Lonchura striata: one gene and its partners. The protein of the gene in region 3 purifies or fractionates together with the protein of the main gene of each other region. This does not show direct contact. Links are inferred from orthologs where the notes say so. Each region holds a gene or a part of one and is shown on either strand. Other genes may lie near its edges. The genes, in order: CHD1L, LIG3 and APLF.

Region 1 (10,105 bases), on a different chromosome or scaffold from region 3:
TGCGTCCCCCTTTCAAGTGACAAAGGCATCACGTACCTCGTATGTTGTCAGAAGTGTAGGGAAGTGAGAGTCCCCTTTCAGATTCTCTTGCAGTTTGGGTCGCTCTTCCTTGCTGCCTACATAGGATATGAAAGAAAGACCAGGAGCAAACCTGTTGTTAAGAGAAAGACAGAAAAAACAGTGAGCCAAGCTAAGTCTTTTCATGTGTTTATGACCCTGGACCTCACTGCACAGATGATGAGAATTCCTGTCCAAACACCCTACACTCCTGTGAGATGTGTCTGGCTCTCAGCTTTTGAATCTCACTCCTCCATAATTTTCACCTCAGGTTGGCACTTCCACTGTTGGCTGTGGTTTCAACAAGTCCTAAATAAACCTGCATTCTTTTAGGTGTAAGAGTCCAAGGCAGATGATTCAAAACCAGTCTCATGACCTAACTGCTATTCTGAACTGAAAAATGTTCATAAGAAGCAGGTGAATGAATACAGTTGGCCCATATAAGGCCAAAGAATTGGCCTAAATAATTCTAAAATAAAGACAAAAATGTTTGCAGCAAAGAGGTCCAAGTCAGGGTCTCAAATATATTCTCTCAGTCAAAAATCAGTTCCAATTGTAGGGACCATAAAATTTCTCCTAATTTAATCCCATCACTATTATTTACCTAATACTCCTTCTGGAAAGCTGCACTGTTGATCTATGAAGGACTGCAGTTTCTCCCAACTATTCCAACCCAAAATCTATCCATATCAGGCCAGCTCACTTCAGAATGTAACCTGCATGACTTCAGATGCAGAGAGACAGCATCAGCTGACAGCCACACAGACAGACTTCTGTTCTAACCTTTAACTTCTAGCCCTTCCTCTTACAAAGAGTCTGTGGGCTACAGACCAGAAATGTACATATTTCAGGCACAGCAGATACACATCAGCACTGTCACCCCAGTGAGGATGGGCTGCATGCACAGCTGTGATGTATTTTGATGTATTGTGTGTGATGTATTTTGTGTGCATATGTAAGCATGCCCCCAAACTTGGGTCTTACCTTTTATTATGAAGATTCCTAGCTGTCTTCAGCAGATTTTGCCTAAGAGAGGCTGAGCAGGGAGGGTTGCAAATCAATAAAAAGCAAGGAGCTAGTGGAAGCATTTAGACTGAAAGTCAGCCAATAATATAGGATGGATGGGTTCATGTATACCACAGCATTGTAAAGACTATGCATTAACTGCATAGTCTGCATTGATTTGTTGGCTTAGTAGCAGCTTCCCTTTTTACTTTCTTTCCCTTTGAAAGGATAAAAAGGAAGTATTGGAGTGAGCACATTTGAAAACAATCTCTGCAATCTTGCAACTTGCAAACCTTGCAATTGCAAGTATGAGCAATAATACAGTAAACCAGACAACTGTTGAAACTTACCTCTCCAGCTCTTCCTTCCAGTTGCTCAGAACTGACAGAGGACAAAGTATCAGAAATCTCTCTTTGTTTGATAACTTTTTTGTCAAATAAAGAAGTAGAGAAATGGTCTAAAAGGCAAGGAAAATATTTTTTTATAACAAGGGAAGGGTTCAACCCGATAGCCTGATCCTACATAGCTGTCTCCTTGCTGAGCTTTGCAGATAGTTTCCATAGGTTCATTATCACAAATCAGAGTTAAGAGAATATCAAGTGGGATACAGACAAAAAGGCTTAAATCCTAAAACATGACCTCCATATATGAAGCCCCTTTCTTGCACAGTCACAAACCTGGTCTACCATGCATCACTTTCTAAAACTATTTGTAATTTAAGCCCTATTGAATAAAATCAGCTGATCCAAAGCACAGTCATTTTCCAAAAAAACTTAAACCCACTGAAAAACTTTAAAAAAATCCAACAAACTTCTGAAAAAATTAGACTTATACATTTTAATCCATATGCTGACAAACACAAAAACCCCCTGGTGCAAGTGCATCAAAAGGACATTATTTTGCCTGTACTGGCTGTGTATTGTGCCTTCAGCTCTGCACACTATGAATTATGCATTAAGATGTTTGGATAAAATGGCCACTCGTCTTTTTACAAAACCCTGAAACCCATTTGGTGTTACACAGGACTTAACTCAGGACTGGTTTTAAGTGGTTAAGGACTGAAAGAGACAATGAGCTCTCACTTGAGTATGGAATTCTGAAGGAGTGGGGGGGAATCAGTAAGGTACTTTTTCAATTTGCAGAAATACTAAGCTAAAACCCCAAAAATTTAAGCAAAGATAATTTTCCAGAAGAAGAAGACACACCTGACAAGTCTTCCCAAGGCCCATCTCATCACCCAGGATACAGCCATGCTGGACTTCATAGCATTGCACCAGCCAGTTTACACCTTCTAATTGATAGGGACGAAGTTTAATGCCTGGGAATAAAAGTGATTTGTTACACTTACAGTCACTTAATGCATTCCATACACACACTAGGAACAGGTCCTGCCCAGAACATATGCCTTACAGGAAAAGCACAGCAGCATTCAGAAGAAGCTAGTTTACCTTCCTGGATAGCAAAGACCCCAATGTAATTGCAATTAAATTAAAGTATATTCAGAAACTTGCACAAAAATGCCCTGAGCCATGGCAGTCAAGGAGCCATCCTTGACTGTGCAAAAGACCTGACCTAGTAATTAGGCTGGTACTTTGCATTCCTAAAAGAAAGCTTAATTTTCAGCCTGAATCACTTTTTAAAATATTAAAGTAAGTATTAGAGCCAGGGACATGCTTTAGGCTACCAGAAATACTTCTCACAATCTATTATTGTATAATAATAATTTCTTAACAAGATGTTTTCCATTTTTCTCTACTTAAAGCCAAAGCAGACCTCCACTATAGGCCACTATGACTACTACCACCATTGCAATCCTTACTATGGGGCATGATATGTCAAAATGAATACAAAACAAATCACATAGGAGTTGGCAAGACCTTTCCTTGTGCTTGGACTCAAGTGCTGTGTATTCTGGCATTGCTGCCCTCTCCTCCCTGGGAAAATGTGCACACTGCGTGCATGAAGTAACTCACCAGCCCGCAGGCTACACAAACCCAAACCAGCCCAGGGACTGAGGTGAGGACTTCCAGCACCTAAGGAAAATGTGTGGGCAGGATGGATTGCCCTGGCGTTCCCCTTTAACATCACCCTCCAGGCAGCCGAAAGCACTTTAATTGACATCCACTTCCAGGCCACTGAATAGGCCAACCCTTGCTCACCTTATCCCCGAAGCACAGAGCTGCCTGAGGCTGTGCGGAGGCACCAGGAGGGTTTAAGCCAGGCTCAGCCCTGGCCCAAACACCACCTAGCCACAAAGCCAGGCAGAGGGACTACAGCACCCAGGGAAGGCTGGCACAGAGTATGGCAGCAATGCCATCTCTGCAGCAACTGCAGCTCACTTTGACACGCTTGGGAGCCAATTTATTTGCACCTTTATTTATTTCCAGCCTAGGGGGGGTGTTAGTACAGAGCTCAGACAACTCAGAGAACTGAGGTTGTCCAGGCTGGACAACAGAAGGTTTCCTGGTGACCTACTTGAGGCCTTTCAGGAACTTTCAGGAAAGATGGGCAAGACTGTTTACAGGAGCCTGCAGTGACAGGACAAGAGGGAATCTGTTCAAATTGAAACAGAATATATTTAGAATAGACATTAGCGGAAAAAAAATCTTTACTGTGAGGATGGTGAGCCACTGGAACACGTTGCCCAAGGAAGTTGTGGATGTCCCATCCCTGGAGGTGCTCAAGGCCAAGTCGGATGGGGCTTTGGGCAACCTGGTCTAGACGGAGGCGTCCCTGCTCACGGCAGGGGGGTTGGAACTGGATAATCTTCAAGGTCCCCTTCCAACGCCAGCCATTCAGTGAGCTGGGCAGCCCCAGGCAGCGCGGGCCCCTCCCGCCACCTCTGACAGCACCGCACCGCTCAGGCTCCCTGCCGCCCCTTTCCCCCGCTCCCCGCTGACCTGTCAGCCCCCACCGCTGCACGTCCGCCTCCTGCACGCCCGCAGCCCCGGCCCGGGCGCCGCCGGCGCGGCGGAGCGCCCGGGAGAAGCGGGACATGGCGGGGCGTCAGTCACCGCTCCGCCGCGCGTTCCCGCCGCCCGAGCCCGGCTGCGGGCGGGGCCAGCCCCGGCTCCGCCCCGGCAGCGGGAGGGCTCGCCCGAGGGAGCGCCGCGATGGCGCCGCTGCTGCTGCTGCTGCTGCTCGCGTCGCTGCTGTCCGCCGCCGCCGCCGCCTACCTGTGCTGCGGGCGGCGGCACACGGGCGGCGCGGCGGCCGTGCTGCACCGCCGGGGGCCGCGGCAGGCCGGGCCGCCGGGCCCGCCCCGGGACACCGTGAGCGCCGGGCCGGGCGGGGGGCGGCGGGCGCGGGGCGGCGGGGCCGGCGCTCACCTCGCTTCTCGCCTTCTCTCCGCAGTGGGCTCCGAGGCTGTGCGGCGCCGGGCTGCGCCTCTTCGTCCATGTGGCTAACACGGTGAGTGCGGGCCGGGGCAGTGAAACCCGGGGCCGCGCGGGGAGAACCGGGCGGGGGCTCCGGGGCGCGCCGCGGTGGTTGTGGCTCTCTGCGGGCTCTCGGGTTCACCGGGCTCTATAGGTGCGGTGCCGTGGCACTGCGAGCGCCGGCCTCTGGCTGAGAGAGTCCTGTGTGTCTTCGGGTGTGGAGAGCCCAAAGCTGACATCAAACTCGGAAGAGAGCTGCCGGCCGCGCTCCTTGGCCGCCGAAGGACTCGTGTCCCTCAGCCCTGTGAGGGGGTCCCTGCAGGCTGCTGAAGGCAGCGGCGCTCCCCAAGGCTGGGCTCTGGATGTCCGGGAGCCGGCGGGCTGATCCCGCTGCGGCACTGGGCCTCTCGGTGTCGTGGTGCAGAGGGGACAAAAGTCTGCATCCCCTGCGCACTGCCCACCTCGCACCTGCTTCTGCTGGCAGCAGCTGGGTCTATGCCTGCTGCTGTTGCTCGGCCTTTCCTTTTGAGCGAAGTAGGCACAAAAGTTTCTTTTCAGCCGTGGCACCTGTTACAAAGCTTGGTGTCCGTCTGGGCCTGGCGTGAAATGCTTGATGGGCTGTGTTTATTTGTGAGAATACCTTAGGAGTGGCTTTCTGTCAAGATGTAATAAGCAGAGTACTTTGTTGTCTTTCGTTTTGTGGCTGCTTCTGATGCATGGCAGAGGGCTTCTTTCCTTTCCCAATACCTCACTTGAAGGGGAATGTGAGATGTTAATTTTCCTACTGGATTGTGCTGTGCTAGGTCAGATGTAGATTAGGAACCATGTGTTTTCAAAAAGGTCTGTAATTCTTATGCAGTGCGTGAGGTGACGTGCTGCTTTGTGGGACTGGCAGTGTGAGCCTTGCCTCAGACTTGTACTGTATTTGTACATCGTACAACATGTATCTGAAGTCCATTGTTAAGATATTAAGACAGGCCAGAACAAGGCTGGTCTCTTTGGGACTGTTGATGCTGCTACTCTGGGAGCCAGGGTATGGAAAGATTGTTTTCTGCTGTCTGCTACCATAGAGTTTCTAAATTTCTCACACTTTTCCAAGTTGACTCATGTTACTGTGGGAGCTGGTTGAGAGATAGGCAAGGTCCTAATAGTAAATAAAATAATAAGCTCCTACCTTATCCAATGTTTGCATAATCTGTGGAACATGATGAAAATAACGGATGGGAGCTATATAGATGCTTCTTAACAGTGTTGCATCTGCAGATGCAGGCTTTCTGTAGATGCAGGGAAAGATAAAGGCAGAGGAATCAGAAGAATACTCTTTTTATAATTATATAAATATGAGCAGTGGAGGGAAAGTGTTTCAGGCCATTTTTTTGGTGTAGAATACAAATGTTTGTGCTGTTTCTCTACTGCATAGCATTGTATGTTCTCTAGCGTACTCTGAGCCTGTGGCAATCATGAGCATATTCAGCATTCCTTATCTAGTGAAAGAAGGTGTCAGGTCAAAGTTGCTGCAAACCAACATTTTTGCTTCCTTTTTTCCTAGGCTTTTGGGCAGATTTGCTTATTGCCATTCTTAATGAGGTAAGCATGGGGACTTTTCTCCCACTCTGAGTTTCTTATTTTTTTAGGTTTAAGGTATTTGCATTGCACACTGCTTGTAGGTTATCTGAAATTGTATTTTTTAAAGAGAAGAGCTGCATAATTTGATTACAGAATAAGATTACTTCATAGATGTTTGCTAGATTATTTTTTTAACTACTGTCATTTGAGTGGGTCTCTATGAGAAGAAAATAGCTTTTTTCACACTCATGCAGGTGCATAGAAACTGTATTCATCAGCTTTTCTTTTTGCCTTTTGTTTGCCTTCATGTCTCTTTGTCTTTGCTCTTTTGTTAAAGGACAGTCTTTTTTTCAAGGATGGTGGATGTGCAAATATGCTGTTCTTATCACTGATAGGGTTAAAAGAATAGTAGTAGTGAGAAAGTGAGGCCAGACATAAAGTTCAGAGGTTTTGGTGAGTTCTTTTTAATTATGTTCTCTTGTTTTAGGTCAGCTTTTCTTCTTTCTTTCATATGTGTTTTTGTTCAGAAACTGATTTCAAGAACACATTCCATGAAGAGATACTTGGGTAAGAGGTTCAGGAACCTCTTCATGCTTTGTTCGTATAGTTTGCCCATCATTTGAAGGGTCATCTGTGCAGATCCCAGGACACTGAGAACTGTGTCACCCCTGAATTTGACTTGGGATGTGGGCTTTTTGAGCAAATCAAATCCAGGCAAGTGTCACTGCTATTATACTGCAGATCATTCCTGGATACCTGTGACAGGGTTTTGATCTCCTTGCTTTGCTATGGATTTATGCTGCAAGCCCTGTTGTATTTGGTTGCAAACAAATTATGTTGAAAGAGGAAATGGAAAAGTCTGAAGAGGTGCTTGTTTTAACAGGATTAGTGGTTGAATGTATGGCTTACACTACATTCTTCTTTTATTTTCCTTTCCATTCCTGTCTTGTTTGGTCTGTGTATGAGAGGTCTAATTAAAGTGAATCAAAAACTTCCACCGTTTCTTTCCCAGCTCGAGTTTACAGAGCTTTATGTCAAGAGCCTTATATCAAGAGGTAGGAGGCTTTGTTAAACAGGCAGAATAGATTTGATGCTGCCCTTAGGAAATATGCAAGAGAGATTAGCTTGTAGCTGTTGCAACTCCCTGCTGTGAAAGCAGGCTGCTAAGACAAAATGTTCTTGGGTAAGGTTCCTTCTGAACAGTCTGAAAAATTAGTCATAGTTGAGGTTGAAAACTCCAGCAGTGATTCTCTCTTATTCAGAATGAACAACTTCTCGCTTATGCGTTCCCTTGACATTCATGAAGATCCCACGTTTATCCCGGAGGTTGCTGCGGGGGTTGCAGAAGACAAGTCTGAGGCTAAAAGCCCTTCAGATGTTATCAAGGAGCTGACAGATGCAAGGTCAGTATGTGATGTGTAAGAGAGAAGTGGAGATGAATACACATGCTGGCAGTGGTACTTTAATGGGAAGCTGTCATTGTCAGCAATTTAGATTAAATTCTTGTTTCCATGCCCAGCCACTTCACAAAACAAATAGTGCTGTCAGTCATCTTGCCTTTTGTAACTTACAAATCACCAGCAATTACAAGCAATGCGAAAGAGAAAAGTCTATTGGGGAGAGACCAAATTCTGCCCTTACCAGGGCTCTGGTTGCACGATTACAGCAGGTACACTTAGTGTTTGGCTAGTTAGTAAATAGATTTCTCTAAGTGACTTTACAGGAGTGCTGTTTCTAGCCTCCAGGGAATCTCAAAGAGAACACCAGGTTTTCTTGGAGGAGAGAAGGAACACAGGTTCTAAAGAAAATAATGCACAAGAAATTAGCTTTGTTAGTGATGAGAAGTGGCCTACTGTTTATGTGCTAGAGCCATTTGGTGTTGAAGCAGTTTGCTTGTGTGTGCTGCATGGTGCCTTTTCCCACTCCTGCACTACACACCCAGATGTGCTGCTGGCTGTCTCGGGATTGAATTTTTGACAGAGGTCTGGGAGTAGGTTCAAAAGTATATTCCAGCTAGGCTATAGTGTTGTAGTGGTGAGTAGGAAGTGTAAATCTGGAATACATTTTGAACAGTTTAATGACTGCTGTATTTCAGTAGGAATATGAAGAAACTAGAACATTCTGGCAAAATTGGTCCCTTATTTCTGTGGCATCCATAGTGTGCCTGTTGCCTGGCTTGTGTGCAAGGAGTCTGACAGAGTGTGAGGGGCAATGCAGGGGTTAGCAATTCACGTGGTTTACTGTGAATGGTACCCAAATCTGCATTGGACAGTGATGCTGAAGTCTACAGGTCTGAACAAACCTGGCTTTGGTGGCTCACAGTTACACCTTTTAATCCTTTCTTTTGCAGGTCTGATTCTGCTAGGAACGGGTTTAGCTTCAAAGAGATCAAAGACTATCTGGAATGCTACCGGTAGGTGAAATTATGGTCTGGAAACAACCTATCCCACATGTTTCTCTGCTGTGGGCTGCCACTGTTCCACAGGCTCTCAGGAATCTCTTTGTTAGCATTGTCCTTGAGGTGCCATTGTTTATCATCACTTCCTGCTGTTCTTTCCCTTTAGTAGAATAACAAAGGAAAGTCATCTGGGAGAGCTGGCACAGCTTTATAAGCCCTGCAAGAATATTTAAATACCATTTTCTTTGGCTTACTCTCTGTCAGTCTTGTTCGAGAGAGATTTCTACATATCTTGTTTACTCAAACATGAGTGAGAAGTAGATGAGGGTTGATCTGGATTATGCCAGTTGTGCATACTGTGGGTCTCTGATGAATCCCTTGGTTCCCCAGCTCCCTGTGCGTCTCTGAGCATGACACCTGCTTTCACCCAGTAAACATGTCCAGCTTGGAAAGAGCTGAAAACACCCCCCTGACTCTGGGGTTCTGTGAGCTGTTGGCTGCCTGGTAATCCTAGTTGCCTCTGGGGCATGTGCCAGAAGTGGAGCCCTTGGAAAAATATCCTTGCACTCCTAGAACTTGTTCCTCAAGGGCCACCTCTGCCCAGGCTGTGGCATTGGAGCAAAGGGCTGACACTGCAGTCTGCTGTTACAGGTGCATCTTGGCTGTGAGGCTTTTGTGTCAGCCAGGAATGGTGTGTTTGTGGTGTAGCAGTCTTTGCCAGGAGGGAAGGAAGGTTTATTAAAGGTGGGTTATGACAGTACTGCTGGCAGCCCCTTCTGTGTAATGGGAGGCCTGTATAAAGGGGTCTGACCTCTTGGTCTTAGCTCATTATATTGGGAGTTTCATAGTTTCCAAGCTTTCAGGAGCTTGAGGACTGTCAAGCTGTCAGCTGTGTGTCCCTGTTTATCTGTGGTGGTTCAGGAACATTTAGGTTAAACTCACCTAGGTTTTCCCCTCCTCTAAGGAGCATTCTGTGTAGGCAAATTATCCCCTTAAGGAAAGGAATCTCCTGTCCTGATGTTGTCAACAGTGTTCAGATCATCACCACACAGAGATTCTTACCTAATTCTTGCTAAAAGCTGTGACAGCTGCCATCTTGCTGCATGGGAGACAAACCCTGTGAGTGGATATGTGAGGGGAGGTCTTATAACAAACTCCCAACTTCTCCTGTCCTGTAGGAGTGGGAAGCTGACGCCATCCCAGGTAGCCAAGAACATCATTGCCATGTTGGAGGATTGTGACAAATCCACGCCACCGCTCAGAGCCATAGTGCAATGGGACCAGGAGCAAATAATGCTGGTAATGTCTGCCTCTGGTAGGAAAGGGGCCTCTGCCACCCCAAGGGCAGTAGCATCCATAAGAAGAGCCAGTATGCACAGAAAAATAAGTAAATTTTTCATTCCTCTGTGTTTAGAGGACTACAACAAGTTTGCTTTCCTTCCTGCAAAGAGAAGTAGCATTAAAGCAATGTTTCCTGCTGAATGACTGTTTATAATAGGACTTCTGTGCTTATGTGGCATCTATTAGTGTAGATAGTTCCAAGTTGTAGTTTCTCACCAGCATATGGTGGAAGAAGAAAACTTTGATAGGCTGGCCAAGAAAGCCATTTTTAATATCCATTCCAATACTGATTATGACCTTCAGCTCAGTGAAATATATATATATATATATATAGCATATGCTTTATGCTTTTTCTTTTTCT
Region 2 (10,288 bases), on a different chromosome or scaffold from region 3:
TTGGACAGCTGGATGAGGAACTCATCGACCTCCTGGATGGTCAGGAGGCTCTTGGCTGCTGGAGGACAGGTCTTGCTCTGCTCGAAGAAGATCCGTATGGTCTCAGAAACATCTCCCTGTCTCCAAAAACAACACCAGGGTGTGGATGAGAGCAATGGCCAGAGAATGGGGGTGCTACTGGGGATTCTGCATGGTTCCAGTGAGGACAAAGGATAGGAGTGATGCTGGGATTGCATGAAGAAATCAGAATCAAACACTTAAGGAAGCTGCCACGACACATAAAGCTGCTCAGCTGTTTAATTTGCCAAGAAAGGTAATTAAGAGTACCAGCATCATCTCATGGCTCTTATTTTTCACTGCTGCAGCAGCATAGACCCTTTATTTTCTCGGGATGAATCCACTTGTAAATCCAAGGACGTGGGCCAGGCTAGTGATGTCACTAGAAGGCAGCACACAGCAAGGCAATGAACAGAGATGAAAGAATTACTTTTTTATCTAATTCACCCCTTTTCTGCACCTTGCAGTGAATCAGAGGGTGCACAGTCAATCACCAGCTCCTCTGCACAGGGACTCAATGCGCAACTGAGCACCTGCAATTGTAGCAGCTTAATTGTATTAACCACCTGCAGCTGCCAGTGACAGGTCTGTTAATTGAATCCCAGGTTTTGATATGTGATGGTACAAAAAGAGTAATATAACTCAGTTCTGTAGCAATGTGCCAGACAAAGCAGTTTATACAAAGAGATCCGGCCCACCTTGCCTAGATAATTTCAGTCTTGCTTTCTAAAGCTTTGCCAGATGAATTCTTATCCTGCTTTCCATTCAAACATGGTTTTTTACAGGTTCCAGATGGCAGAAAATGCTATGAGCACTGCTAAAGCCAAGGAAAACCAAAATAAATCACCAGCTCCCATTCTAACAGTCAAGCTAAGGAGTAAAAAACCTAAATCATTACCGAATTTCAATACAGAATAAGCAAATAGCTGAACAGCAGAAATTAAGAGAGCTGCTCTCTGCACTCACCTGCTCCAGGTCCCGGACCATTTCTTCCTGGTTGCAGTTAAAAATCCTGCTGAACAGCTTTACAATCTGCTTATCATTCAAGTTGTAAACTATTTTAATGACACCTGGTAACAGCATCTTAATGGTGAGGTATACATCACCATGAAAACCATCTGGAAAAAAAAAAAAAAAAGCACATTATAGCAGTGAGGATTTATTTTCATGTCCAGGCTCTGGCTGGCTGTGTCCAAACCCTGGGGATAAAATCCACAGTTGTAGCTTGGAATTCTTAGGGAAAATAGCCACAATTTGCCTCTAAATCTGACCTCAGCACTAAATTTGGCACCTACAGCACCCAAGTGAGTAATTTTTGTCTGAATTTACTATTTAAGGAGTTCACTTTTCAAAGATTACCACCACAGTTCAGAAATCACCACAGCACAAGGCTAGGACCACACAACAGATCTGAATTTCCCCTTTCCTTTAGAGATCAGCCTTTGAAACTGATTCTGAGAGAGCTGAGAATTCCCAGCTGGAGCCATACCTCCTGCAGATCCCTTCCTGAGGAAGTCCTGGATGATCTGAGTTTTCACATTGTAGCTTGGCTTTTCAGCCACCATGGCGCAGAGCTTGCGGAATTCCCGCAGCAGGCAGTCCTTGTGCTTGGGATCACACCTGGCTGCAGACAGGCTGGGCTTCTGGGCAGGGTTTGCAGGGGCATCTTCTGAATTCTTGGGCTTAGCTGCATCAAACACACCACAAGTTGTTTTTAACAACACGGAGCAAATGTTGAAATTATCTCTGCCTGGCAAGCTGGGAACAATCCCAGTGTGCTGGCGAAGCTTCAGAGCTAAAATTTATGACTTTTATAAAAACCTTCCAACTATGACTTTTATAAAAACCTTCCAACTATGACTTTTATAAAAACCTTCCAATTATTTTTACCCTTCACATCACACCAGAATTTCCTAGATCTTGGTTCTACCAGAAAAGTATGGCTAAGTCATGGTGAAAATTAATTTCTCCTTCCAGATGCCTCTGTTTTAGAGATTTTTTTTTCTATTTTATGGGTTTTTAGCCTTCAAAGCAAAACACTTCTCTAAGGTAATTTCTAAAATTGGGGAATACATCCCCATCCTCTCCTAACACCAATCCCTAAGGAACTGATGTCTTTGGCTCTGCTGTGGCTCCAGGTGGGTGTCAGGTCAGTCAGAGCTCACAGATGGAAGATGGACTGTCCTGCTCCTCAGGACAAGTTTTCCATGAACACAACTGAGAATCCCTCAGCAGTTTTTTTCCAGATTTTGAGCTCCACGTGGGATAACTTTAGCCTATGTCTTCAGTTTGACTGCAATGAGCCAGTCAGCCTGACAATGTGGGTCATAGCAGAACCTTTGTTTCCTTGGGAAAACTGGAGATCCACACATCTTTCAAGATGTTCTTTCAAGACTGACAGCCTAAGAAAGCACTGACAAACCAGAATCATCTATAGATAAAAACCTACTGATCTGAGCCAAGCAGAAACACCTCTTGATGCTGAGACTAAAAAAATGAATTTCTCAGAACCATTTCTTAATTCTTACCACTGAATCCAGAGAATTTCTTTGGTGGATCTTTTGTGGTCAGCTGTCCTGTGGCAGTGAGTTTTGCCTGCACTATCACCTTTTTCTTTGGGGTACCTCCAGTCTTGGAATTGGCTTCTGGAAAGCAGAAAGGTTCAAAGAGGCAGTCAGGAATAATCTCATACATCACTCACCATATTATGTGGCTTACAAAGTAAAAAGCCTTAAAAGAAATGGGAATTGGAGGAGAAAAAAAAGATGTTTTTCAGGTAACAAAAGTTAGAAGAATATGTAATTTATTAAAGATCACAGAAAAATGTGGAAATGGAAAATAACTGATGATTCACCATGGGTTTTATTTGCTTATGAAATAAATCACATAGCTCTTGTCCAGAACTAGTTGTGACAAACGAACTGAGGAGTGTCACTGCAGAAGTGACCATTTCTTCCCTTTCTTACACAGCTGAGGCAGGGGCTGGAACAGCAGCACATGTTTTGTCCCTAAGCCACACAAATAAATCCACGAGGATTTAATGGCAAAGGCACAGCTGGTAACAACCTCTGGCATAACCTGAAAATAAGGAGGAAAGTGACCCTGGAACTGCCTCGTGCCTCACCTGAGATGTACTTGTTGATTGTTTCTTTCTCCTCATCCTGCAGCTCTTCCCACCCCTCCAAATCTGTGATATCCTCAATTTTCTTAGTAGTGGCCCGGGCTTTGTCCAGCTTCTCAAAGATGCACTTGACATGGTACCACTCCTTCATGTCCCCTCCGGACTCGGTGAAAGGATTGGGAACGATCTTCCCGATGCGCACCATCCCCTTCACGATCTTCTCCTTGCACTTCTTGCAGCCCGCCGTGCCTCGCTTGGCATAGTCCACGCAGTACCGCTGCTCTGCCATGTCCTCCGCGGCCGCGCAGGCCGAGCGCAGCGGGGACAGCGGGAGCGGCAGCGGGGACGCGCCGGCACCTCCGCGCTGCTTCGGGGATGGCACAGGGACAGGCTGGAGCAGCAGCTGCCACCAGCACCCGGGGCTGCCTCCGGCGGAGCGGGAGAACGCTGCGGCCGAGGGGAGCTGCGGGCGGGGGCAGAGCAGCGCTGCGGCCCGGCCGAGAGCGCGGGCGGCGTGTGACAGCGCCCGGCCGCCCGCGGGCATCCAGTCCGCGCCGAGGCTGCTGCGAGCGACACAGGCGACACTCAGCACCCCCTGCCCGCCGGGACCCGCCCAACCCAGCCCTCACCCCCGCTCCGCAGCGGCCGCCACCGCCCGCGCTGCGCTGCCCCACAGCCCGGCCCCTCACGGCCCCCTCCTCGCTCCCAGGCCTCTCCCGCCACAGCCTCGCCCCGAGCCCGCTTTCCCGCCCTGCCCTCCCCGGCGCGACCACGGGCTCCCGCTGCCCCTCCGCCGCTCACCGAGCTCCTCACGGTGCCGCCATCCCGTCCCCCGCCCCGTCCGGACCCCCGGCTCGCCCGCAGCCCCTCAGGCCGGGGCCGCCGCCTCAGCCGCCGCCGGGACACGAGCGCGCCGGCCCGGCTTCCGTAGGGCCGCGCGCGCCGCCCGGCCCCGCCCCTTCCTGCCCGAGCGGCGGCCGCGGGGGCGCGCTCAGGCCACGCCCCATCGGCCCGTCTGAGCCCCGCCCCCAGCGCGCGCCGGGAGCGTTTTCCCGCCTCGGGCGCGGCTGAGGCGGCGCCGGGAGCGCGCCCGGGGCAGCACCGGGTCCGTGCCCCGAGGCGGCACCGGGAGCGCGCCCGGGGCAGCACCGGGTCCGTGCCCTGAGGCGGCACCGGGAGCGCGCCCGGGGCAGCACCGGATCCGTGCCCTGGGGCGGCACCGGGAGCGCGCCCGGGGCCAGGGAGTGTCCGTGCCCTGAGGCGGCACCGGGAGCGCGCCCGGGGCAGCACCGGGTCCGTGCCTGAGGTGGCACCGGGACCGCACCTGGGGCCAGGAAGAGAATCCAGTGCCCTGGATTCGCACTGGGTCCGTGCCCTGGGACGGGACTGGGACCAGGACCAGAGGTGGCACCGGGTCCTCGCCCTGGGACAACGGAGAGTTCCCCCTCCATGAGGCGATCGATGGAGGGACTGTGCCCTGAGCTGGCAGCGGCTCCCCGCCCCGAGGTGGGGAAGGGTCCGTGCTGTGGGGCGGCACTGGGACAGCGCCTGGGGCCATGGAGGGTTTGTGCCCCGCTCTGTGCCGTGAGGCAATGGAGGGTTTGTGCCCCGCTCTGTGTCGTGAGGCAATGGAGGGTTTGTGCCCTGCTCTGTGCTGTGAGGCAATGGAGGGTTTGTGCTCCGCTCTGTGTCGTGAGGCAATGTAGGGTTTGTGCCCCACTCTGCCATGAGGCCATGGAGGGTTTGTGCCCTGCTCTGTGCCATGAGGCAATGGAGGGTTTGTGCCCCGCTCTGTGCCGTGAGGCAATGGTTTGTGCCCCGCTCTGTGCATGAGGCAGTGGAGGGTTTGTGCCCTGCTCTGTGCCATGAGGCAGTGGAGAGTTTGTGCCCTGCTCTGTGCCGTGAGGCAATGCAGGGTTTGTGCCCTGCTCTGTGTCGTGAGGCAATGGTTTGTGCCCTGCTCTGTGCCATGAGGCAGTGGAGGGTTTGTGCCCCGCTCTGTGCCATGAGGCCATGGAGGGTTTGTGCCCCGCTCTGTGCCGTGAGGCAATGGGGTTCTGCACCTGCGGCAATGGAGGGTCTCTGCCTCAGGCAGTCCCAGGTCCGTGCCCTGAGGTGATGGCTGGTCCCCCCCACAGGGCTGACTCCACTGCAGCAGTGTCCCCTGCCCTGAGGTGATGATGACTTCCCGACCTGCCAAAGTTGGCTTTTCCAGAGTACTGGAAAAGGCAGGTGTGAGCGGTGCCCTGTTCCTGGCTGAGGCACACTGGTTCACCAAGAGTGCTGTGCTGCATTAACACAGCTTGGAGGTGCTGATGGATCACCTGGCCATAGAAGTGGTCCCTCCAAGAGTTCTAACACCGTGTTTGTGCACTGAGCCACTGCTTTATCCCCAGCCTCATGAAGCTGTCCCTTCAGGGGTACTATGCCATGCTGGTGCAGGTTTGAGATGCTGCCATATCACCTGGGCCCTCAGTACCTGCACAGGCCTGAAGTGCTGCCCTTATAATCTCTTAAAATTGTCCTTTGCACTGTGTTTGTGTGGGTTTGAGGTGCTGCTGTACCACCCCAGGCTCCTGAGAACAGCCCTTCATCCCAGTACAGGTAAACACACACCTGCAGCCCAGCTGTTGGCTCTCTGCTGGTGGCAGCCACCCCTGTTCCTCTGGTGGAAGTGCTGTTGTGCTGTGCCAGGAGGCTGCTGAGGAGGCTGGAACAGATGCAGTACACAGCTCCACTGGATTCCTACCTTCATCCGTGGAAAGGATGCTGTGTGGGTTGACATGGCCAAGTCTCTGACCTCAAAGGCAGAATGAGACATAAGGTAGAGAATTTGCTTCCCCAGCCACATATCTGTCTTTTTGCTGGCCTCCAGCTGGTTTTAAAGCAAGCTACAGGCAGTCTTCTCCCCAGCACATCAAACAAACCACACTGTTTGGAGCTGGGAGTGAGTGTAACAATTGTGCCTGGTCACAAAATTGGGATGAAATCCGACATAGGCATTTCTGATCACTGGGATCTGGCTGTGCACAGACAGCCTGCATTCATTTGCAATATTTTACATTGCAATATTTACTCTCAGGCAATGCATTCAATCCATAAGCTCATGATGGAAATGAACCTTCCTGTCCCTCATGGCTCAGAAGTGGAGGAAACCGCAAAACCAAAGAAACAAGAAAGCTCATCCAACCAAATCCAACTGGGAGCTTTGAGTCACAAAAGAGGAATTGCAGAGGGATTCACAGAGGTCTTCCTGCTCTGGACTTTATGTGGAAGGCACCCAGATGACCACCACGCTCCAGATTTTTGGCTGAGTGCATTTGGATTAAAATTTTAATGTGTGACTTCAATGTGATTTGATTTTTAGTAGTTCAGATTGCTTTGAGAAATGATTTACAGAACCAGCAGTGAGTGGGTGCAGGAATTTGTATGAACACAGGGATTTTAGAGGGGAAGAAAACAAAAACCAGGTGAAGATGAGGTGTTCAGATGCTGTGATGTGCAGCGTTCAGAGAGAGCTTGCTGGGAGCACAGAGTTCATGGCACCGTGGTGAGGTGTCCCATTCATTGTGAGCCTGGTGAAAGAGATGGAAAGGCAAGGGCTGACACTGCAGCACCTCATGATCAGGTTTAAATGATATATAATAATAAATAAGGCAACTGAGCAACCTGGCAGTTGTGGGATCTGCTGCCCTAACTCTAAAAGTCAGCTAAATGAGCTAAACAGGCAGAGCCTTCAGGCAGCAGAGAAACATTTCAGAAGCCTCAATGAGGTGAGATGAATTGCTGCTGGCTCCTTTCAGCCTGGAGGGGTTTGCATGGCAGCAGGGACAGGAGGGGAGTAGGAGGCTGCCCCTCTGCAGAGTGGTGCAGGACTGGAGATTGATGGCCGGGCAGTGAGAGATGCAGCGAGCACAGGCAGGTGGCAGAAGGCTGCCGTGAGAAACTGGGAGTTTTAGATAAATTTCCTCTCTGAGAAACACACACAAATGCTGGTTTGGGTTGTTTTGGAGAGGCCTGGGAATGACAGCAGCAAAGCTGGTGCACTCTCAATGCCAGTTTTCCTCCTCTTGAGAAGGAGATGAAGACTCTGCAGCCCAGAGCATTAATTTTGCTGATTTTCTAATGTGGCTCCAAAGGAATTGGTAGAAAGTTGAACCTTGTTTCTTTGTAGAATCATAGAAGGGTTTGGGTGTGAAAGGACCTTAAACTCATGCAGTTCCACCCCCTGCCATGGGCAGGGACACCTTCCACTATCCCAGGTTGCTCCAAGCCCTGTCCAACCCAGCCTGGAATGCTTCCAGGGATGGGGCAGCCACAGCTCCTGTGGGTACCCTGTGCCAGGGCCTCCCCACCCTCACAGGGAACAGTTTCTTTCCAATATCTACTGTAAATCTACCCTGTTTCAGTTGGATCTTATCATCTTTTTTTGTGGCTAACAGCTCTGAGATGGCATTAAGAAGTGATAAGAAAGTTCCAAGTGGCCTGTCAGGCCCTGATTTTGGTCACTGCTCCTAAATGTTCTCTGCAAGCACATTCTTCCCCTGAAATCAATGTGAATCCACTGTTCTTATTGTGGGTGGGAAGGTTTGTGTGCAAGGGGAATAATTAACATTACTTCGTGGTTCAGTTGAGGTGTTGGGGCTGGGCTGGACTTAATGATCTTGAAGGTATCTTCCAATCTAGTCATTCTGTGATTTCTGTGAATACTTTGGGTTTTAGAGTCTTATTGGAATGAACTCCTTCAACTCCCCTTTTGGCTGGATGTACCTTCAAAAAGCTGTGAGTAGAACAATATGTCCAGTGAATCTATCCACAAAACCACAGGTCACTGAGTTCACTGATGGAAAATCAGGAGACAAATCCCTGCTCCTTCACCAAGGATCAGGGAGAAATCACTGCTGGAGTCTCCCTTGGTAGCAAATACTGGAATTGCTGAGCTGAGCCTCTTACCATAATGTGCTCTCTATGCAAAAGGCAGCAATGACAGAGCAGTAGAGAGGCACCCACGAAAGCAGAACTCTGTTTTAAGTAGTTTATTCCACTAGCAGCAGGAAGATAACACCCAAAAAGTCAGATTTAAATGTCTAAGTCTGTCCTTGCTTAAGCAAAGCGGCCATCAGGAGTTCTGTCAGGAATTAAGATATATATGAAAGCAAAATAATGGTCTCAAGTTTTGCTTTTAGGCTTTTTCTTCAGTGTTAAGAAGGAAAAAAAAAATAGCTTCATCCTAAACCAGGGTTGAAAATAGTTCATAAAAAAAGGTTCACCTTGTCCAGATCTTCTAGGGATATCTTAAATTAATGGAGTTTGGACTAAAATTAAAGTTTCCTTGCAAGACTTCTGTCAGAGTTATATTCCAATGAATCCAATCTTCTTGGTATTGAGAAAATGTCTGGAATCTCACTAAAATCAAATAAAAGAAGGAAGATATTTAGAATTTTAATAACCCCAGTGAACAAATATATCTCCCTCTCTGGCTGCTAAAGAAGATACTGAATCTGTACATGTGGTTTTATTAAAATACAAGCGATAAGAGAAATGGAAAAGATTATAGGAAACAGACATATATGCATGAAATACGTTTGGCAAAAAGGGAAGGCATGTCAGTTAAATAACAGATCAAGAAGCCATGTAAAATGGATTTGTAGAGCTCAGTATTAGTTACTTATTTGCATTTATGTTCGTTGGTAAGTCTGACTTTAGGAAGGGCTTGGAAAGGAAAAGCTCCATGGTCCAGTCTGAAGGGATTTGCATTGTTTTGGATGGAGAAGTGGCTTGGAAGGCTTTCTTCTGCCTTTTGTGGGGGTGAAAAGTGGAAGCTGGGTATAACAGGAGTGAAATCTCTTACAAGCCTCCTCCTGCTCCCTCAGTTTGGTAATATAATCAGCTGTCAGTTTAAAAAAAATAATTAGCTGTATTTCAGTTCCCATTTTCTTTTTAGTGTTTCCCGGAACAGTGAGAGCGACTGGATGTGATCTAAGGTGTAACAGTGAAAATGTGAGGGAATCTCAGAGGAGCAGCTGTTCCCTGCTGCAGGGCATGGACCAGGTGTTCCCAAAGAGGTTCACCTTTCCTTCCCTCCTGTTCCATTCTCCAGGGCCTGCCGTGATTCAGTGCCTGTGACACAGAGCCACGGAGCTCCTCTGCATCCCTGCTCCCATTGCAGTGACATCCCCGCCTAGGGCGGTGACAAAAAGATGACAATGAATGTGGTGTTATCCTAAAATTGCTCTGTGCAGCCCTCTGTGGAGGAGACAGTTTTGGAATGTGAACTTTGTCCTTTAATCCAAACACGGCAAAAGTCTGTCTCTGCCATCCCTCTCACCACATCTCAGCTGTCTTTTTGAGGGAAAATGTTGACATTTGGTACGTGGGCATTAGGAATATCCGGGTGCAGAAAAACAAACGGGAAATTTGTCATTTCTAGTGCAGATTGCCCAAAGAGTCATTTAACAGCCACCAAAATAAAAATGTGTCAGAGATTTCCAAAGGCACTGAGGAGATGCTCATGCTCATTTGCTATTAATACTAATGAGAAGTGAGTGTCCAAATCACTTGGACAGGTTTTGGAAAATCTCAGCTAGATACATGTCTTCCTGGAGGAAATTACATTTGACAGGAGGCTTGTGATGCAGGGAGAAGAAGGGCATTGGAGGCCACGCTCTGAATCCATTCTCTTTCAGTTCAGAAATCTGCCAAACGTGTGTTACACACAGAGCTGGTGCCTCCACCTCTATTCTGCTGGCACCTAATAGAATAGCCTTTATTTTTCTGCTTGCTGCATATGCTGTTAAATTAGATAGAGGTATTTGCAAGGTGAATGACAAGTGTAATTGGCTATAAATGCTCCATTTAGAGAGATTGCAAACTATGTTTAAGTTACACCCAAGTGCACCTGTACTTGAGATGCAAAGTCATTCAGCTCCCACAGCACCTTCATTACAACCATACTTCATCCTCCCACACAAATAGATTCTCAGGAAAATAATTTCTCCCCAAATGTACATCTGCTACGAATTATCCTGGCATCATTACACATGCCAGGGTAGTGAACACAAATCTCATCCTCTGGGGTGGTGCTGATTGAAAGATGACACCTAATTCTGG
Region 3 (9,294 bases):
TTAAAAAAAAAGAAAAAGGGTACTTTTGGAATGCAACTTTTTAGTGAAATCCTGACACTAGAAATTATTAAAGCAGAACATTGGGCACATGGCATGAGAAACAGCAGCAGTTGTGAGAAAGGCTTTTTAAACAATTCCAATGTTTGCATGCATCCCAAGTTCCCTCAAGTCAGCCTTCAGATACATCTCCCCCACACAGCTCCTAATCTCAACACCAACACAACCAAAACATTCAGTCTTTGAAATAAACATTATATTCACACATATAACAAACGTTATAGACTGGCAGAGAAACAAACAAATGGACAAACAAATCCCAACTCTCCCAAAAATACAAAACAAAAGCACAAACATAAGAAAACTATCACACCAGTACAGCACTCAACACCATGCAATTTTTATATAAATATGGCAGAAGGGAAAAGTCTAGATAGGATGAAAGAAAAAAATACTGAAACACAGTTTTTCTTTGTCATCTTATATTTTTTTCCAAACTAGCTTTAGATGAAAAGAATAGGCAGTGTGGTGGAGGACACAGACTGAGGTGTTTAAAGACACAGCTGCCCTCATCAGTGCACACAGACACCTGTATTTACAACAGGAGGGAAGAAGCAGCTGGCCAGACACTGCATAGCACACTCCTGGGGGCCTGCTTGGATATTAAGATCCAAATGCATAAAAGCAGAAACAGGAAAACCAGTTTTTAAACTCTGGAAAGAGTCACTAGAGTAGAGATGCTGCACAGAGGGGAGCAGACACACACTCACTAGCCACAGTTCTTGCACTTGGACTGATCAGCAAAGACACTGAAGTTTGGACTAAGTAACCAAGTTTTATTCAGCAATGATTAAAAAACTAACATGCAACACCACCCAAACCCTTCTGCCTGTAAAACCTGTGAAATTAAGAATCTAAATTTAGAAAAGCAAAACATCAGTGTGGAGAAGGCTAGGAATTAAAGAGACAGAAACTACTTAGAATTTACATACAAAATAGTCAAGTTTGTAGGAAAGGGCTCCTGAACATCCAATGCTCAGCTGTACAAACAGAGTTTATTATCTGGCATTAAAAACAAAAAGAACAGAATGAAAATTAAGTGATGAAAAAAGAGCTCTACAACACCCGTAGGACTGATGACAAAGGAGACAACAGAAGTCAGACTTTGTCAGCTGCCCCACATAGAGCATGGAAAGAGAAGTAGCAAATTATACTTCCTATCACCATCATTATAATTGTAAAAATTGTATCAAAGCACAGAAATGCACACTGGAATGCAATCATTGTCCCACTACAAACCTACCTCCTGTCAGAACAGGCTTGGAAACCCTCTGCACCAGAAGATCTCTTTCCAACATCCAGGATGGAAGCACTCTCTTTCTTTGAATAGATTTTGACTGTTTGCTTTCATTATCGTCAGACAGAGGAACCTGAAAGAACATTTACTGTTTAGTGCCTTTATCCAGTTACAGAAGAGTGGGGGGAAGCCAGACCACAGTTTGCACTCAGTTATGTCCTCCAAAAGCAGCCTGGGTAACAACCTACTTTTTGTATGGTGGCCATTGCTCAAGTATTTTACTTTTTTTTTGCAGTTTCCATCCACTCAGAAAAACAACATTTATAGGAAACTTTGTGCAGTAAAAACAAAAGAAAATAAAACAGAATATTCTTAGATATTTGGAATAAATATCTAAAAGGCTACAAACTGAAGGATTCATAGAAGAGCTTTACCACCACCTTGCTCTAGTTTCCCTACATATATAAAACAGAAAGAGCAAGTTTAACAAAAGCCTATTTGTCCAAGAAAAAAAAAGGCAAAAACCTGCAAACATAAAAGTCTTTTTTGCATTGCTACAATTTATTTCTCCAGAAAGTAATCAGATTCTAAATCTCTGAGTCACATTCATTATTTACTGAAAACAACACTATCCTTTTGGATTTCCTGAGCAAGTCCACCCCCAGGATCGCAACCACAACAAAGGCTGACATTTCATTTGTATAGAGAACATAACACCTCCTTAACTTCCAACACATGCTTACAAATATTAAACTTCATTAAAAACTTAAACACCCACCAAAAATCTGGAGGCAGCATCATTATTCCTCATTTTTGCGGCTCCCTCTACCTCAGAGCTGGAACATGCTGGTTCCATTAACAATGGAATACAGGACATCTCAACAGCATGAACAGTTGGTGCTTCTGCATCAGCCTCCTGATTTTTTTCTGACAAAACAAAAAACGATTTTATCTACTCACACGCTGCAAATATAAACATGCACTTTTGACTCAAACACAAAAGTTGGTCTGAATGTTTGCCATTAACAAATGCAGTTTGAAACTGACCATCAACATCCTCTTAGCATCAGCTTACAGAGGAAATAAATGCACCTTCCTTTTACCTCACACCTAAAGTTTTGACCAAAAGACTCTCTAATAACTGCCGACCACGACTGTGGTGTTTTGGGGTTTAAGTACATAATTTACACTGGTTGCTGCCATGACAAAACTTTGAGAAAGCTGAAACTGCATCTCAGAATTTGCTTTATGGTAAATCTTCACAACTCCCCAAAATCTGATCCAATCCTAAAAGTCAGGCAACGATTTTAGGATTTCAGGACCAGATGCCCAATGAATCAAGCAAGTTCTCCATACAGGCTATCGAGGAGACACTAGATACACCGGTGCTAGTCTCAAAAGCCTCAGTTCAGAGCCACTACGTCTAAAAAGCTTTTTAGGTTATGAAAGCACACCCAAACTGTAACTGTTTTTCTTTCAACACGTTGCCCTTACACTACTCAATGCACCAGCACAAAAGATCAGGGGAAAACGAGTCTAATTGGTGCAGTATTGCCTGCAGAGAAGCACTGGGGTGTCTCTGCCAACCTGCTGAAGACCACCCTAAGTCACGGGGTGGCTTTGTGTGGTGAAAAAATCTTCTCCTCCAACCCGTGCTTCCAAAGAGAGGCTCAGCAGTTTCTTGTTGTTTGGTCTCATGGTAGTTTATTGCAAGTTATCTAAAAGATTTTCTCCTTGGGCTGCTGTGGTTTGCTCACAGCTCAGGCAGAGGCACACACACACCCTGACATCCTCTCTGACTCCCGACTGCTTCTTCTCTCCCACCCAGGGCTGCTGCTGTCTTTTATATGGGACATTACGTGTTACATGTTTACAGTTCTTCCCCAATGCCTATTACCTATATTAAATGGTGATATTCTATCTTTTATATGGTACATTACATGTTACATGTTCACAGTTTTCCCCAATGCCTATTACCTGTATTAAATGGTGCTTTTCTACTCTAAACCAATCTGTGAGTGCCAACATCACCAAGAACATGGAGGTAAGGAAGAAGAAAGAGGGAGGACAGGGCAGGCCCAAATCCCTCCATCTTAAAACCTCTGACCCCCATGTACAAAACAGAAACCCCCCTGTACAGCACGCAAAAATTCTTCCCTCTACTTTGTAACTACTTCTACTCTAATATCTAAACTTTTGTGACTTCTTGTTCTTCCTGCCAGGCTGGTAAACTGTTCCACAGCTCAAACCCAAAATCACAGCTGTTTGCAGCTGCCTGCCAGGGTCTCAAATGCTTCTGACCTGGTCCTGGAACCTCCTGAAATGTCTGAGGGACATTTTGAGTTCTGACACCAACCCTTCCAGAACTTGCTGTACTGCAGAGAGCACACACTGACCAGCTGAACTTTCTCTTTGTCACCCTGAGAAGAGAAGCACCAAAGGCTGAGCTCTGCCTTATTCCTCCAGCTCTGCAGGGTCTCACAAAGCTCCAGGATGGGCGAGGTTCAGCAGAACCACAGCGGGACATCCAGCCCCAGCTCCCTGCTCAAGAAGGGTAATCCCAGAACACATGGCACGGGATGGCATCCAGATGGTTCTGGAGTATCCCACTGAGAGATATTCCCACTCCTCAGCCTCTCTGGGCAATCTGTTCCACGTGCAGCCACTGCACAGTAAAGAAGTTCTTCCTTATAGCCAGGTGGAACTTCTGTGCATCAGTATCTGCCCACTGCCTCCTGTCCCATAGTTCTGCACCGGTGGGCACAGCCCGGTCCATTCTTTTGGCACTTTTAGACACTTATACTGATGAATGAGGTCCACTCTCAGCTGTCTCTTTCCGAAGCTGATCAGGCCCAGCTCCCCCAGCCTTTCCTCCCACGAGAGATGCTCCACTCCCAAACATCCCCGCTGCTGGAGCCGAGCTCTCCCTGCCCCTTCCACCCGCGCCGGAGCCGCCTCGGGGCTCCAGCGGTGCCCTCGGAACCCCTGAGCGGGGCCGGGCCGGCCTCACCTCCAGGCTGCCGGAGCCGCCGGGACGGGCACGGAGCTGCTGCCGAGGGTGGCAGGGACCAGCGGGACGGGCACGGAGCTGCTGCCGAGGGTGGCAGGGACGGGCACGGAGCTGCTGCCGAGGGTGGCAGGGACCAGCGGGACGGGCACGGAGCTGCTGCCGAGCCCCGCGGGAACCGCCGGGACAGGCACGGAGGTGCTGCCGAGCCCCGCCGGGACGGGCACGGAGCCGCCGCCGAGCTTCGCAGGAGCTACCGAGACGGGGCCGGAGCCGCTGCCGAGCCCCACGGGAACCGCCGGGATGGGGCCGGAGGTGCTGCCGAGCCCCGCCGGGACGGGCACGGAGATGCTGCCGAGGGCGGCAGGGACCGCCGGGACGGGCACGGAGCCGCCGCCGAGCCCCGCGGGAACCGCCGGGACGGGCACGGAGCTGCTGCCGAGCCCCACAGGAACCACCGGGACGGGCACGGAGCCGCTGTCGAGCCCTACAGGAGCCACCGGGACGGGCGCGGAGCCGCCGCCGAGCCCCGCGGGAACCACCGGGACGGGCACGGAGCCGCCGCCGAGCCCCACCGGGACGGACACCGAGCCGCCGCCGAGCCCCGCCGGGACGGGCACCGAGCCGCCGCCGAGCCCCGCGGGAGCCGCCGCCGGCTGATGACGCGCGGCCGCCCCGTGACGCGCGGTTCCCCGGGCCGCCCGGCGGCGCCGCCTCCGCGGAGCCGAACGCGCGGAGCCTCGGGCCGGGGGCAGCGCCCCGCGGGCCCGCCCGCCCCGGGACATGGCGGCAGGCGGGCGGCTGGCACACGGCGCTGCCGGCGGCGGCCGCCCGCGCTCGGAGGGGCCGCAGTGACGCCTCGCCGCCGCGGGGATGGACCGCGGCAGCGCCGAGGGGGGAAGAGGAGGAGCGGGCGACTTGGTGTCTGCCCTTCCTCCCGAGATCAGCTGCCGGATTTTCAGCGGGCTGGACGTGGAGAGCCTGTGCCGCGCCTCCGTGGCGTGCAAGGGCTGGCACCGCCTCATCGAGGGCAGCGAGCGGCTGTGGCGGCAGCACTGCCTGGCCGTGCGCGCCGTCTGCCAGCGGGAGATCGACTGCGACCGCGGGCACGGCTACTCCTGGAAGGTAAGAACGCCTCCGGCCGCCCCACGCCGGCAGCGACACGGGCGAGGATGCCCAGGGCCAATGGAAAAGTGCAAGGAAGTGACATCAAGCCTGTCGCGCCCGTCCCGGGGTGGTGGCGGGGGATGCGCGCAGCGTGGCTCGGAGCGCATCCCGGAGCGCATCCCGGCAGGCGGACAGCTGGGAATGAATATACTGGGAATAAAGCAAGGCTGGCCCTTTTCCCACCCGGGATACAGCCTGCCCGCCTCGCATTAGTCGTCTTTCACGGGGCAAAGGCCACATTCCCGCAGGCAGGGAGAATGGACTCAACTCCGATAGGCAGCGTCTGCTCTCTGGTTGTATTTTCTGTCTTTTGTATTTTCTGCTGGTTAGGAAAGACTTCCTGAAAAAGCATCCTGGATAGCGCTGTCTCAATGCATCTCAAGTGAGACGCATTCAGGAAAAAAAAAAAAAAAGAAAAAAAAAAAAAAAAAAAAAAGGGACTAGAAAAGGAAATGTGTCACCCTGATTCTTAAAATTTTCTAAAGCCTTCTGAGTTTACATTCTGTTAGAAAACTTTCCCACACATTTTCTATAAACAACATATTCTTTTACATTCCTTCGTGAGAGTAGAGGAAGTTGACATACTAGTAGTTTGTCCAATGTCTTTGGAGAGGTGGCCCATTCACTCTCCAATCCACTGTCACCTTTAAAAAAGTATAAAAGTTGGAGTCAGAAAATAAACCTTCTTTTTTACCTTGCCATCGCAGTGGCTCATGTTGTACTTTCTCGTGTCCTATAGCAACAGAAATGAGCAGGAGTTTTTATAAACTTTTTAGAAAATCGCCCCAGATGCAGACTGCTCTGAGGAGTTTGCAGCAGGTGCAGCTTCAGAACCTGCTGGATGATCTCTCACTGATGAATCCAGCCTGGAAGCTGAGATAGATCAGAACCTGATCAGGTAGACCAGGTCACTGGTTCCACAGGTTACTCTGGGCCAGCTATAGGGTAATCTCCCACCTTATTTAAGCTGGTGTGTTTGAGGGGTGAAAAGAGAGAAGCAGCCGCAAAAGAAACAAAAGCAGCCACTGGATTCTGACATTTCAATAAATTTTCTGCAGTATGAGGCAGAGCCATGAGCAGATAGTGGTTACCCTTTCAGTGTACAGATCTTGCTACCCTAGCACAGCAATTTTCAGAACTCCCTGTGCTGATTGTCAGTTTTATCTGGAGGGGATTTGAAATACAATCTACAAACACACCCAGTCTACATTTTCTTGCCCTTAAAGGCTGGCAGAAGAAAAGAACCCAGCCGGCCTCCAAACCAAAGAAAGGTCACAACCTAAACAGAAAGTGAAAGGTGCCTTTTTTAAGGAGTAAGAGGAATTCCTGGTTTGGGTTTTCATCTTGACCACTAAAGAATTGAGGCAGGAACAGAAAAGTTGGAAGTGGAACATGTTCTGCTTCTCGGCAGCATTGCACCTTCCTGGGCTTAAGGTCTAGATATCCAAAGGCACATTCCAAATCCCAAAGGCACATTACAAATCCCTTTTCCAGCACTATTCTTCTAGTATAATCTTGCAATATTGATTGCATTTTAAATTGGTTCCTTTCTGAGATCTGTCTCTATGTTTTTCCACCAGATTACACTGTTGAGAAACTACTGGAAAAGCAAAGTGAAGCAAGAATGGCTAAGTGGGAAATACAGCAACATTCCTTCTCAATTCAGTTTGCCAGACAAAAGCATGTATCCAATGGATGTCGACACGTGGGGAGAAATCTTGGAAGCAGAACTTGAGAGATGATAAACCAGTGCTGATTCTTGCAACTCAGAAAACTTTTGCCAATAGCAGTCACACCGTTCAGCAGTTGTGAAACTGATTTTGAACTGATTATGAATTTATGATGAAAACTTCTCCAAAAGAAAGTTACGGGTGTCTTTTTTTTAATTTGCATTTTACTGTATTAATTTTATGCAAAATTCTAAAGGCAACTAAATCTTCAGTTGTAATTTATATTTATAAATTTAATGTTCTACTGCACTGTCAAAAATATGCTGATTATCGTTTCAGTTTGCACTTTTTGTTTTGGAAGAGATGATTTTTATATTATAAAAAAAAAACAAAAAAAAAAAAAAAACAAAAAAAAAAACCCACCCTAAGGTGTGTTTGACCTTTTGATATGAAATGTATTGTATCAGCAGCACATGAGAGCTTACAGAAGTAGGCTGGGGAAGGGGCAAATCCAGACACTGGAAAGAATCCTCTGGGCAGCAATGCTCGTTCCCCTCCAAGCCAAAAACGAGAGAACGAGGAGCTGAGCCCAGCCCCTCACTAAAATCTCCCCCTTTCAAAGGAAAAAAACTCCTCACCTATAAGAGTGCACCCCCTCCCCCTTGGCTACATGTTTTGTCTCTCTTAAGTACCATTATTATAATTTTTTAGGCAATAGACGGGAGAAAAATCCTTGAGAGAAAAAGGGAAACAAAAAAAAAAGAAAAATCCTAACCTCCAACAAGTGTAACTCAGAGTAAAGAGCATTCCTAAATACAGAGGATGTAGCAAAAAGATCAATTGCAAACACTGCTTCTGCTATTGTTAGCTGTTCTGCTGCAAGATTGTTAGTGCAAATTAAAGAAAAAATAAAACCAGCAGAAAAAGGCACACCCAAGCACATTGAGGGTACTGCTTCACTCCCTGCTCACAGAATGTTTTACCCTGATTGAAGAGAGTATAAAGTGTAAAAAGTGCATCTAAGTTAATAAAGAAGAAAACATTTCTAGCAGTACATTCTCTTCACCTCAAAACTGCCCCGTTTTTTAATCATAACATAGGGAAACTGCACAATAATGGATCTGGTCCCTCACCTTTCTCATCCAGCCTTCACTGTTACCTCCAGTCTGTAACTCCCTGACATTTATCCCCTATTCCTGCTCCTCTCATGCTCTTCTGCTGTAAATTCTCATGTATTTGTCTCAGGATAGCGTTTGTAAATAGAATAATATTCAAGTATGAATCCTAAAAGTTACTTCACTGTGCACTTGGCTGTAGCTTTTCCCCATTCTTGAATAAGCATTAAGAATCCTCAATATATGTTGTGCCTCTGATGAAATCAGGTGGCTGTGCCTCTTTTAATCAAGGAATTAAACATGCAGCTATGCAATTACACAAGGCCTGCATCTTTAAAGCTGGAGTAACAGTGGTGTAAATTCTTGTGAAAAATCTGTTAGTGAGGGGGAAAAAATAGTATTTAATTGCAAATCCACATAAAAACAAGGTTTTCTTCCTCTCCCCGTTCTGACTCCTTCCTTTAAGGGTTTTAATTCCCCCTGGAGATTTCATTACATCATATCTGATCATCTGTTCTTCTCTCTGCCCCTGCACCTTCTACTCAGCCTCCCATCTTTGCTGCAGGATGGATGTGTTCCCTTCCCTTAAAAAACATCCCATCCAGTTCTGTGCTCCTTGCACCTCCTGGTTTGGGCTCATCTCTTGCCCCTTCTGCTCTGCCAACAAAAGCCACTGAAATGCAAGAAATAGGAAGATTGTACCTAAATTAGCACTCATGTGGGTGTCCTTCCCCAGAAAGTGTGCTCAGCAGCTAAAACCACACGTGTAAAGCCCTCACCACCCAGGGCATGCATTAGCTACCCTCACACCTTGGCTGGTGAAACCCTTTTTCCACTCCAGTGCCTACCTCTTACCCACAGGTTTTTTTGCTGAAGTGCAAAGTTCTACTTTTGCAAACCCCATTCTCAAAGTTCTGCTTTTGCAAACCCCACTGACCTTCCATTCTCATGCCATTTTTGTGCCCCTGACACTTGGAAGGTGTCAGCTGCAGAAAGGTGCCCAGGGTGTCCATCACCTAGGCTTTGCATTAGCCACCTGTG

What was found.
Region 1: the proteins of APLF (region 3) and CHD1L purify together in Homo sapiens (affinity purification with mass spectrometry; 4 studies listed by BioGRID and IntAct, counting the BioPlex papers as one, with this or other methods). This does not show direct contact. The link is inferred for Lonchura striata from reciprocal best matches to the Homo sapiens genes APLF and CHD1L.
Region 2: the proteins of APLF (region 3) and LIG3 purify together in Homo sapiens (affinity purification with mass spectrometry; 3 studies listed by BioGRID and IntAct, counting the BioPlex papers as one, with this or other methods). This does not show direct contact. The link is inferred for Lonchura striata from reciprocal best matches to the Homo sapiens genes APLF and LIG3.

What each region holds. Positions count from the first base shown.
Region 1 is NC_134604.1:26,877,353-26,887,457, reverse strand, and holds the start of CHD1L (chromodomain-helicase-DNA-binding protein 1-like), read right to left. Parts: upstream 4,097-10,105; 5' UTR 4,060-4,096; coding exon 3,963-4,059; intron 2,381-3,962; coding exon 2,268-2,380; intron 1,520-2,267; coding exon 1,413-1,519; intron 152-1,412; coding exon 37-151; intron 1-36. Other genes in the region: uncharacterized protein LOC110480871, read left to right, coding at 4,176-4,334, 4,417-4,473, 5,989-6,026, 7,268-7,408, 8,356-8,418, 9,582-9,702. UniProt on the Homo sapiens protein: ATP-dependent chromatin remodeler that mediates chromatin-remodeling following DNA damage.
Region 2 is NC_134622.1:6,056,864-6,067,151, forward strand, and holds the start of LIG3 (DNA ligase 3), read right to left. Parts: upstream 4,086-10,288; 5' UTR 3,980-4,085; intron 3,774-3,979; exon of another isoform or gene 3,742-3,773; 5' UTR 3,723-3,741; coding exon 3,182-3,722; intron 2,703-3,181; coding exon 2,586-2,702; intron 1,745-2,585; coding exon 1,547-1,744; intron 1,176-1,546; coding exon 1,024-1,175; intron 117-1,023; coding exon 1-116. UniProt on the Homo sapiens protein: Isoform 3 functions as a heterodimer with DNA-repair protein XRCC1 in the nucleus and can correct defective DNA strand-break repair and sister chromatid exchange following treatment with ionizing radiation and alkylating agents.
Region 3 is NC_134605.1:3,026,669-3,035,962, reverse strand, and holds the start of APLF (aprataxin and PNK-like factor), read right to left. Parts: upstream 4,421-9,294; 5' UTR 4,305-4,420; intron 2,222-4,304; 5' UTR 2,172-2,221; coding exon 2,073-2,171; intron 1,428-2,072; coding exon 1,301-1,427; intron 1-1,300. Other genes in the region: FBXO48 (F-box only protein 48), read left to right, coding at 5,175-5,426, 7,049-7,210. UniProt on the Homo sapiens protein: Histone chaperone involved in single-strand and double-strand DNA break repair.